2 linked regions of the Tribolium castaneum genome follow. The protein of the gene in region 1 purifies or fractionates together with the protein of each later gene. This does not show direct contact. Links are inferred from orthologs where the notes say so. Each region holds a gene or a part of one and is shown on either strand. Other genes may lie near its edges.

Region 1 (5,974 bases):
ACAGAAAGGGTAAGTTTTTACTTTTTTGTAAGTTGTAATGAGTGTTTATGTTACGGACACGTTTGTTCATCTTTTTCCAACTAATCAGACCATATTATATTTAAAAATGGTGAAATATATCGTAGTTGCATTTTTATCAAATTTGCGGAACATCAACTGCATTATTTTGGCACGATTTTTGAACAGGTTCCTAATTAATTAAATGGAACATCCATTTTTTTTTATTTTTCTAAAAACTGTATGTTATGTCTGAAGTTAATAAATCAAAAGATATTTGACTTTAAATGTTAATTCAGTTCTTATTCAATAAATAAATTATAGTAATTTCCACGGATAAATGGTTCAGTTATTTTTCTGTAATAAATGACGAATAATGGCCTAAGCGTTGTTATTAGCTAAAATTTTCATTTTTTCCACTAGTGAATTTTTTTCATGTTTAAAGGTTAATATCGCATCTTTTGAGTAATTAGTTAATTACTAATTACTGTAAGTAAGAGACACCAATCTTTCAATATTTTTATGTGATAAAACTTAAAAGTTTCCTCATTTTTTTAACTCTCCAAAAAATGTTGAAACATACCTACTTTCTTCCTTAAAAATGATTCAATTTTTTTTTTTTTATTATTCTTGGTTTTTGAATAATTACCCCAAAACTTCCTCACAAAGAGTCATGAAAAGCTACGTTCAAAAATGCAAAAAATAAACGGTGTTTATTCCGCACATATACTATAAATTTTGTGCAAATTTATTTAAATAACTTAACATTCAATGGTCAATGATGAACTCCACCAACCTCTGGACTTACCATTGGTAGCAAACAAGGCCTGGCCAACGTCATAGTGAACGAAGACATGATCACAGGATGGAAGTTCAAAATCTTGGGGTACATATCTAGAGGGGATAGGGTTCCAGAGGTTATAACCACGGTTTGAAACCGATCAAAAACCGGTTTTATGGCAATCGACGAATCCAAACAACTGAAATGTAAGATCGGGTTTGACACCGTCGGTGTCTTATCATCAAACGGTTCTACGATTATCGTAAAACCTTTCGTATAAGTGGCCACCAAAGTGGCCAAATGTGTGACTAAAATGACCGGACTGAAGTCGGTCAAGTCTGATATTTCCAAAGTTCTCAACAGAGATGCCAAGCGTTCAGCACAGAAACGTAACGGTTTTCGTTCAATACAGACTTTGGATTGGACGTCTTTTAAAAATCCAGCAGGGCTTTCTTGCACCACGTGCTGGACTCGCAGCCGAGTTTTGAGGTATTCGAGGAAACGTTTCAGGAAACTGACAAAGTGCTCGGCGTTGCGAATATTTCCAGGGACGGCCTCTGAAAATTAATAAATTACGCAATTTAATTTTTTTTCGAATTACTGACATAATAAATAACAATCAGCCCAAAAAATTAATTCGGAAATGGCAATATTTTTGCCTCTGTCTAGCATTTAAGTGCATTTTTGAGCTACAAAATTCTTCTCAAAGCATTACTAAACCAGGCGGACAAATCACAAAATATCATCGAAAATGCGATTATTTTTGCATTTTCCGAGCATTTTGTATGGTTGTTTTAGCCTGAAGTTCAATGATTTCGAATAATGCCCTCAAAAATAAGACAAAAAATAAGCAAATAAGTTTACTTTTGAGAGATTTCAGCAGAAAAAAGATTCTTATTTAATCGAAAATGACATTATTTTTTGCTTTTTTCATGTGTTTTTATTTAGAAACAGTTATTTCGTTGAAGATTGTTTCGTTGAAAAATATTCGACTGAATTAGGTCAACCAAATTTGGCTTTACCGAGTGTTTACCAGGTTTATGAGAAAAAAACAAGGTTTTCCTCCAAAAAAATTCGTTGAAAAAAGGATGAAAATCCAGGAAAATATATCGCAATTGATGCTACCTATTTTATTTATTTATTGTCAGGTCAGGTCAGGTCAGATCTGTTTAGTTTTTTAACTTTGTTAAACATGTTTAAAAATTATACACAAATCGAAAATTATACTATTGAGTTTGTTTCATTCGAATGACCTCGTTTTCGAGTGAAATTTTGCTAAAAATAAGTTAAAAATTATCAAACTTTGAAAACAGTGTTATTTTTTAAATTCTCAAGCTGTTAAGTACAAAGTTTTTTGGCTAAAAATCACTAAATTTCTTCATTTTTGTCAACGCATTAAGCTGTGTCTATATCACTCAGTGTTGCCAACTTAATTTCAACGTCACGGAATATATAAATCTAATTCGGGTATTACCCTGGAGGATGGCGTCGGGCAAGACCGGATTGGCCAAAATGACGTCAGTGTCTCGCGCCACGCTAGCGTCGCGCAGCCCCTCAACTAATCTCTGATATTCTTCTTGCAATTTTTTGTGATCGTCTTCACGCATCCTAAAAAATTTTAAAAAATCCAGAGAAAACTTAAACTTCCGGGGATTTACTCGGCCACAGTACGTTCCAATAACTGGATGTTGGCGGAAGCTCGATCGATAATTCGTTTGTTGATTTTCACACTCATTGAGTCGATGCAAACATTATCGATATTGTGAGCCTCATCGAAAATAACAACTGACTCTCGTGTCAGCTCTTTGGAGACGACTTCGGCGATCTTGGGGTCTAGTAAATAGTGGTAACTGTAGACTACGATATTCGCGTAACTTATCTAGGAAAAAGGGTCAGAAGTGCAATGTAAAGTGTGACCTCAAGTACCACAAAACGAGACAGGAAATAGGGGCACCAGTTGCGGTCCCGTCCGTACTGTTTCAAATCATCTATACTGTAAACCCCAAACGGCATCGTACTTTCTTTGCCATCCAAAGCGAAACCTTCGTAATACTGACAAATGGGAGTTGTATCATCGTAATTGTGCCTCTCCCTTATGTAACTCGCCGTTAGTGCGTGGCATTTTCCGTCCACAATCTTACCCTCGCGCTCAGTACTCACCTGAAATTTGCAAAATCAAGCCCGGTTATGCACCCCCAAATCACCTACTTCCGGGTGAATACATAGATTCTTCCGTGAGGACAAAACCAGCCCCAGGAGATGGGGGTACTCCCCGTCCAACTTCTCATAATACTCGAGCAGTTTTTTCAATTCTTCCATAACTTTCTCGATTTCGGGGACAGTACGAGAGCAGTAGATCAACTTGCGGACGTCATGGGGGTGCTCGAGCATGTATGCAACAACGAGGGAGAGAATGGTGGTGGTCTTACCCGTCCCTGAGGGCATTTCCAAAAGGCAGTGGCCCTAAAATTAACATAAAAAAGGGGCTGTGAAAGGCGGGGAGCGTACTTTGGCGTCCAGGGCCCGCTTGAGCTCGCACATGTAGGCATACTGCTCGGGGTAGATGTAGTCATAGGGGAAGTACACGATTAAGCCATCGACGTTTAGTCTAAAATTTTCGGTTTTGAGGCAACTCAAGTGCCAATAGTCGGGTTCTTACTTCATTTTTTGTATGGTGCTGGGTGAAACCGTGGTGTTTACATTGACCCGGTAGTTTTTTTAGGTTATGGCATGTTTGGAAAAAAGTGCGGTTATGCAATTTTTTGTAATATTTTCTAACAATAGGAACGTTTCTATTGCTGCTAATCGATTAGTAAGGAAGAAGGGGGCCTAAAAATTTAAGTCCTGTGAGCTGGAACCACGTATTCTATCAGTTATTCAAAGATTCTATAATAAGTAGGGTTATGTAATGTATTCAAGTATTCAAGAAGAAAACACCTTTTTATTTGGAAAATATTTATTAAAAACTTTATTGAATAAATTAATGGTTTTGTACAACACAAAATCAATCACACTTTGTCTTTCACGATAATTTTATCACCATTTTGCATTGAGTAAACTCCGATTTCTTTCATTTCATCCTCTAGAAGAATCTCGATTTCTGGATCGCTCTTGCTGGCGTAAATCAAGTGGGGCCTTCCACTCAAGCTGAACATTTTCTGTGTGAGGACTATAAGTTTTTGCACAGTCATTGTGAGAGGCACTTTCTTTTCTACCGTAAAGTCCTCAAAAACTATACTTAATTGGACCAACGTATTTTTAATAATTTTCGGTTTTGAGACAAGTTCACTCTCTTCCAGCTCGCCATATTCTGCAAAAATAACCGTAAAAACGTAACAAAAAAAATATAAACAGACTTTGTATCAATTCCAAATATCTGTTGTGGGTTTTGAGAAAATCAGCCTCTTTGTTGGTACCCTTGGCGTCCAACCATTCAAGACCGTACTTTTTCATGTAGTCGTATTCAGCCCCCCGTCTCTCAGTGGCTTCAATCTCAACCCCATTTAAAATTTTCAAGTTGGCAATTTTTGCGATTATTATTTGATGGATAGTGTCAGGTTCTTCCGATTCTGTGATGGGGTTTTTGGAAAATCGCAGATTTTCTAAACTTTCAAGCCGATTTAACTCAGCCACAGAACGCCACTAAAATCAATCCTCTCATGAACGGAAACGAACAAAGTTTCAGTCTTACCTCACGGATCAAGTTTTTCACAACACATAATTTTTTCATCGCTCTGAAAGCTTGTACTTTGGGGGAATCACCCTCAAACTCAATCAACTGGAGCCCAATATTCTCCAGAATAAGTTGCTCCAAGTGCGGTAAATCCCCCAATTTGCAGACCTCCGTCCAAAACTCAATGTTATTCCCTTCAAGATCGAGCAACTTTAATTTGGTGAAAAACCCCTCAGGTGTGCTAAGCCCCCGGATTTTGTTATTCGGAGCTCTGAACTCTTCAACTGACGGGAAAATGCGTCCAAGTTGGCAAATGTGCCCCCAGTCCAAGTCCATACACCCACAAATCAGAGTTGTCACGTTTGGAAAACTCTCACTAATCGTTGGCAAGTCCAGCAAATTCTCACTAACATTCAGCCAAAAAAGCCTCGGCAACTGGCGGCAAATCTCAAAAACGCTCTCCCAAGACACTAGCAAATTTTTCGAAATGTCCAACTCTTCAATATTCGGACACGTTTCTCCGAGTCGTAGCGGCGGACCCGCCGAATTAATCCCTTGGTCACGCAAATTGACGATTCTCAACGACGTGAAGTCGCTCTGTTTGTGGAAAACCTTGTCAAAGCCGACCATTTCCAAAAAAGGCGCGTTCATGTTTTGTTGGATAAGCAGCTGCTTCTGTTTGTTGATTTTGGCGGTGAATTCATCCTCGAACTGGCCGTAGCGCGACTCAATCGACGCTAGGGCTGATTTCCCGCAATTGACCTTCTCAGGCCTTATGAAGGAACCTGAAGTCGGGTTTCTAAAATTTGGTAAAGTCGGGGTAAAAATGAATGGGGATCAATACCTGGTGGTGAAATATTGCACTCCGTTGACGCGGCCGTCGTGTTTGCCCCGCTGGGGGTTGTCCCAGTCGATCCCGAGCCAAATTGAGGGCTTGCCCTCGATGGGGCCCACGTATTTTACCGTTCCGATGTAACCGCCGCTCTCGACGCGGTCCCCAATTTGGCAAGGAGAGTGCGAATTTGTCATAGCTGTGATGTCTACAAAATTATTTGTGATGATTTTTTTCGCAAAATTACAGTGAGGTTAGGTTGGAAAAAGGGTATAAAAACTTACTTTTTTCAAGTCAGGTGGGTTAGAATCAAGCTAAATTTATACCGTACGGCCAAATTGTTACAATTATTTCAATACATACAACACATTATTGATTTAAAAGTAATATGAATCACAATTTTTTTGACATTTGTGATCGGCCCACGAAATCTTATGCGCGTCGAGACTTAGGATATTTTGCGCCAAACGATTCCGGGTTTTCACCCGAATTTAAGGAAAAAATAAAACACAACAAATACATTACGACTGTTTATTAACATGATTACTGTTTATTCAACAATTCTTTTAAAATCTTATCACATTTTTTCATGTCTGCTCTTTGTTTACTTTTCGTCGCCACGTATCCAAGAAGTGCTTTAAAAACTTTCGTTTTTCCGCCCTTGTACTGTTTCACAACTTTTTCGTTCTGG
Region 2 (5,983 bases), about 26 Mb from region 1:
AAAATTTTAAACTTTTATCAACAAAGAACAAACGTTACGATTTTTTGCCTCAACTTTTTCGTTACTAAATGCCAATTGTATCAACGTGTCTCAGGTCTGTGAAAAATGGTGGATGCGCCACAATGCAGCTAAAAATAAACTGAGTGCAATAAATCGCAAGGGTTTAGTGTGTCGTTTTTTTTAAATGTGTCAAAGAGAAGGCGGATGAAGCGTCCGTTCTATCTATTAATAAATAAAATCTCGCCGAGTCATAAAATTTATTTTGTGAATAAGTAGAATTCCAACGTGATTATCATTGATTTACTCCTGTGTTTACGTTCAGCGACGTCGAAAATTCCTAATAATTTAGCGCCGCAATGAGAATGTATAAGAGTTTCGGACGTTCGTGTGTAAAATATGTATATTTAACTCGATTTATGGGTTGATGTTTTTGTATTCCTTGATCCAGAAGCGATGTATTTACACAATTTACAGCACGCTTTACATTTTATGAGCGATAATTTGATCGATTTGTTGTGGAAACACGACACCGATAACAATATTTAGATGGCATAAAGGAGACACAAGTCTGAGGACTGATCTAAATTTTCAATTGATAACTGAAACGTAAACAATGAATGAGGTGGACAAGCTGGGCTTTATCTAGAGTCAACAGGTGCTGACACAAACTCAAAATTCATTTAACAAATATTCAAACTTTTGATTTTTTTAAATGAAAGAATCATTTATTTACTTATAAATAATTAATTAAATTAATTAAACATTATTAAAAAATAAGGTGTTATTTTACTCCCCTTACTTCATTTTTGTGCGAAATTGCATAAAAAATAAAGCAAAAAAATCACAAAATCGGATCGAAATAAATTTAATTTCTACGATTATTTTGCCCGATTCGTTTTTGGATAAGAAATTCATTACACAAAAAGTTAAAACAAATGTGTTTTTAAACTTGTCTTGAGATTTCGCTAGAGATGATAAAAAAAGAGCACATTTAGTCTAGCACTTGTTTTTTTCAATTGTTTTAACGCACATTCCAGTCAGAAACCTTATTATTTCACAAAATACTCTTAAAAAGAAGCCTTAAAGTCATTAAAATAGACCAAAAATGGCAAAATTTTTTCGATTAATTTCGCTTGAAGTGAAATTTATTCAAAAATAATTGTGAGAAACAGAGAAACATTTCGCAAAATTTATTCGAATAAAATTTTTTTTTTAGATTATTTGAACAAAAACTGATTGTTTTGCAAGATTCCCTCACAAAATCCAGAAATGTACAAATTAGGTCAAAAATCTTTACATATTTTTTTATTTTGTATTTTTATTTTTTTAGACAACTTATAATGGAAGATGAGAAGGTGGAATAAGACGCTCCTAGACCTTTTAGTTTCGCCGTAATCAGCGTTTGAAAAGTGAAAAAAATGTCATAATTTTTGCGTTTTTCTCGGAAACTATAATACTAAAAATTGTGAATGTTTTCAGAATTTTTCGACCATTCCTAAATTAAATATTATTAAAATATATTGCTTAATCTAAATTATTGATATAGATGATACGTCGTATGATTTTATTTATGACGGAACTCAGCTTATTTTATTTATTAAACAGCAAAAGTATGTACTTTATATGCTTAGGCAATAATGTCAGGATGACTTGATTAAATAGAAAATGGTTTAACAAATTATGATTTGTTAGTGTTAATTTTTATAATAAAAAATATTCACAATAATGTAATGTTTTCTGATATGACCTAGTCCTAGCTAAATGTGTTGTTTTTTATATTATATTTTTGCACGTTTAGAAAAAAAATATAATAAAAATTCATATTACTATTTAATAATAATTCGGCTCACTACGTTGGGTTTTTTGAATTGATTAATTATCTTTTGGAACTAGTGTCATTTTTTTTATGCACTAAACAACATTCATCGTTCATTGTTCGTTTTAGAATTATAATTTTATGAAGCGAATTAATATTAATCGTAGAAAAATTCTACAAAAATTCACATGTAAAAAAAATAATTAAGTATGAAAAAGAAAAAGAAACAGAAACAGAAACAGAAACAGAAATAGAAATAGAAATAGAAATAGAAATAGAAATAGAAATAGAAATAGAAATAGAAATAGAAATAGAAATAGAAATAGAAATAGAAATAGAAATAGAAATAGAAATAGAAATAGAAATAGAAATAGAAATAGAAATAGAAATAGAAATAGAAATAGAAATAGAAATAGAAATAGAAATAGAAATAGAAATAGAAATAGAAATAGAAATAGAAATAGAAATAGAAATAGAAATAGAAATAGAAATAGAAATAGAAATAGAAATAGAAATAGAAATAGAAATAGAAATAGAAATAGAAATATTTAATTTCAAAGATCTTAATTCTGCGATTAACTGATTATATCGGGTGGGTCAAAAGTCGTGGATAGGCTCTTAAGAGCAGCTAGATGGAGCTATACAGAACACTATTTTCGATAAAAAAATCACAAAACCTTTCATTTGGCTGAAATTAAAAACAAAAAATGGCAACGCCGTACAAGTACACCTATTTTTATACATTTAAAAAAATATTAACCAAAAGTATTACCATGTAACATTACTAAATGTTGCCAAATTAAAAAAAACACCAATAACTTAAAAACAATTTTTCAGAAAATTGGGTTTTAATAATGACAACAATACCTTAAAACTTTGAACTAAACAATATTAAAGTATCAAAAGGTAGCATAATTAATTCGCTATTGTTTATATTTATTTTTGGCCATAAAACTTGGAACATCCTGTACAGGCTACAGGGTGCTCAAAAACTGGCGCACCAACTCAGTGGTACGTTATTGAGAAGCAAGTCCATATTACGGGAAAAATGTTGAAAAAATTCCCAAAGTTATATTTTAAAAAATCTGGAGCTACAAACTTATTGTGTTAACTTCTTTAGTTTTCATTGTTTTTTTATATTTTTATGTTTCATACCAGGTAATCGTTCCGTAACAAAACGATGAATAATTATTTTAAAATTTACTATCAGATTTTAGCAGTTTTTTTAATTTAAAATTCATCCAAAAAATCACAATGTGTAGATGTGCCAACACTGGGAATTATTTCCTAGGAAACCGTTTCAAAAATAATTTATTTTTATTGTTGCTCAAATTCTATTACGATCACGACTGTTGGGCAACGTTGCCACATATCACTTATTTAAAATTCGTTATTTATCAATAACTTTAATACAAATAGTTTTTTTACTATTTTTACCATTATATGTAACCACTTCTCTACCACACACCATTGAGTTGGTGCGCCAGTTTTGGAGCACGCTGTATATACTATATACATGCAGGTAGATTCAAAAAATCTCTCGGATGGTGATAAAGCACAAAGTGACTTTAATTAGTTTAGAAACATCAATATTAAAAGCTACACCCATAAATGCAATTCCATTAAAAAAAAACATACTCGTAAGTTTGAATTGTAGCAAATCTCAAAAACATCTTGTATGCCTACTTGAAAATAATTTTGGATTAATGAAAAAAAATAAATTTTCTTACATTTACATGGGACAGCCTGTGTTGGTAATTTTTTGGTCACCTGTATTTTTCTAAGGAAAATAAAACTTAATACTTACGTTTCCATCAGTCGGCATCGAAAAAATCCTGACACAAAAAAACCCACTTACCACTGAGCACTAGGTAGTGAGCGTTTGCGCGTCCAAGGGTTTGTTGGGTAAGTGTGTGAAGGTAAGGTAAGAAGGGCCTGCGGCTTCGGCGCCAATCTAAATGAGGAAGTGCAGTCGTTCGTCGGGCGCCACGTCCTCCTCGCAATAATAAATCTCGTTCTGGCCGAATGCATCTAATTATCTTGGTGGAGTTGCACACACGTTGTACCCCGGGGACACCGCTAGAGATATGGCGGGCAGTGGCGCCGCGCTCCACTCAAGAAAATTTAGGCGCCACCGTCACTCAGTCACACATTGACCGGCTCAAAGCCAACACCAAGGGCCTCCTCCGATGACAACCGCCTTCACCATGTCGGCCCTGCTGCTCTCCATCCTGGGCCTCTCCGTGGGCATCCCCCACTGCCCCATGTGGAAGGAGATCGCGCCCTGCACCTGCCGCATGGACTCCACCAAGCTCACCACCATCCACTGCGACAAGATGACCTCCTACGACCAGGTGGTGCGCCTCCTCAAGGGCCACTTCGCGCCCGAGGACCGCGTCTCGCTCAAGATCTCCTTCAGCAAGCTGGACGACCTGCCCTTCAGGGCCTTCAACGAGCTCAACATCTCCATCGAGAACCTCAAGCTCAACCACGACGGACTGGGGTAAGGGTGATAAATTGACGTAGTGATGAGGATGACAAATGACAGGCGAAACAAACAGATAACCTCCGACCTTCTCATGTTTCAATTACAGCGTCGCCTGCTCGATTATTATCGCTGGTAAATTCATTTTCCCGGAATTACTCGCTAATGGCACGATATCGTCGCTTTAATGAATGAAATCTCTGACATCGACGCGGTTTTTGGAAGCGCTGCTGATAAAGACATTCGCAAGAAATAACAAACGGTAATTGATTTGATGATTGCTTCTCTGAAGCGACTTTGCGGACTTAAATCGGCACACGTTTTCACTAAATTGACCATAATTGCACTTTTCCTTTTGGATTTACTCGGAATTCGGACGTTTATACAAATTTGGACAACCCTTATTAAGCAATTTGGCACTTAGTCAAGCTTTTTTCATTTATTTTTTCACTTTCCAATATTAAAAAATGGATAATTTTGCTGTTTTAAAGTTTGAAAAGCCCTAGATAAATCTGTTTTCATATATGATTGTGTTGTGTACTATTGACATATTTTTAAATTTTAGACAGCTCTAGTACAGTTGGGTACAATTTGCTACTGACTTTTTGACACTTATTGCGTGTGCATAATTTATTCTGAGCTCATATTTTATTTTTGATATTACTATATTTTTTTAATTTGGACAACCCTAATAAAAAGAATATATTATATAATTTATTTTTGACGTTTGAACTAACAAATCAATGTTATGTTCTTTAAAACATTAATTTGATATTGACAAACCTAACAATAATTTTCTTTTCATTTGAAATATTATAAATTAAAACATACACGTTTTTGATGTTGAAAATGTTCAATATACTTATAATTTGAGATTTTGTTACGAATTTGCTAAACCTTAGTCTTCTCAGAATTTAAAATATTAAATTTAATTAATTTGATATTTTTCAATTTTGGACAGCCTTAAGATAATCTTTTTTTTGGACAACCCTTAAATGTTGTTGATAATTTGTCCCGTTTTTATATTTCTACTGCAAAAAAATGTTTAATTTAAATTTTTTATTTGAAGTCCCTTAAAAAAATTGACGTTTTTTACAATTTTGGACAGCCTTAAGATAATGGAATAATCTTTTTTTGGACAACCCTTAAATATTCTACATAATTATTGTTGATATTTAAACAATTTGTTCCGTTATTATATTTCTACGGCAAAAAATGTTTAACTTAATTTTTTTATTTGAACTCCCTTAAAAAAATTCACATTTTTTTACAATTTTGGACAGCCTTAAGATAATGGAATAATCTTTTTTTTTGGGCAACCTTTAAATATTCTACATAATTATTGTTGATTTTAAACAATTTGTCCCGTTTTTATATTTTCTACGGCAAAAAAATGTTTAACTAAATTTTTTATTTGAACTCCCTTAAAAAATTCACGTTTTTTACAATTTTGGACAGCCTTAAGATAATGGAATAATCTTTTTTTTTGGACAACCCTTAAATATTCTACATAATTATTATTTTTATATATTTACCCCAAAAAATTACATACATTTGAACTTCCTCAAAAAATCTCACTTTTTTGTGATTTTGTAAGTCTTTAATTTAATGTTTTCTTTAACAAATTTCGAGAACCTTGGCAATAATAACTATTTACTGTTACTTTTCTTTTATTTGGAATG

The links. The genes of interacting proteins can lie anywhere in the genome.
Region 2: the proteins of Xpd (region 1) and galla-2 purify together in Homo sapiens (affinity purification with western blotting; 3 studies listed by BioGRID and IntAct, with this or other methods). This does not show direct contact. The link is inferred for Tribolium castaneum from reciprocal best matches to the Homo sapiens genes ERCC2 and CIAO2B.

The regions. Positions count from the first base shown.
Region 1 is NC_087394.1:27,624,843-27,630,816, reverse strand, and holds the start of Xpd (general transcription and DNA repair factor IIH helicase subunit XPD), read right to left. Parts: upstream 3,622-5,974; 5' UTR 3,443-3,621; coding exon 3,438-3,442; intron 3,387-3,437; coding exon 3,287-3,386; intron 3,242-3,286; coding exon 2,987-3,241; intron 2,939-2,986; coding exon 2,705-2,938; intron 2,658-2,704; coding exon 2,437-2,657; intron 2,387-2,436; coding exon 2,253-2,386; intron 1,336-2,252; coding exon 806-1,335; intron 1-805. Other genes in the region: Tbce (tubulin-specific chaperone E), read right to left, coding at 3,787-4,088, 4,135-4,420, 4,470-5,250, 5,296-5,480; GatB (glutamyl-tRNA(Gln) amidotransferase subunit B, mitochondrial), read right to left, coding at 5,827-5,974. UniProt on the Homo sapiens protein: ATP-dependent 5'-3' DNA helicase. Component of the general transcription and DNA repair factor IIH (TFIIH) core complex, not absolutely essential for minimal transcription in vitro.
Region 2 is NC_087394.1:1,673,544-1,679,526, forward strand, and holds the start of galla-2 (MIP18 family protein galla-2), read right to left. Parts: upstream 3,777-5,983; 5' UTR 3,642-3,776; coding exon 3,624-3,641; intron 1-3,623. Other genes in the region: ltl (insulin-like growth factor-binding protein complex acid labile subunit), read left to right, coding at 4,006-4,319.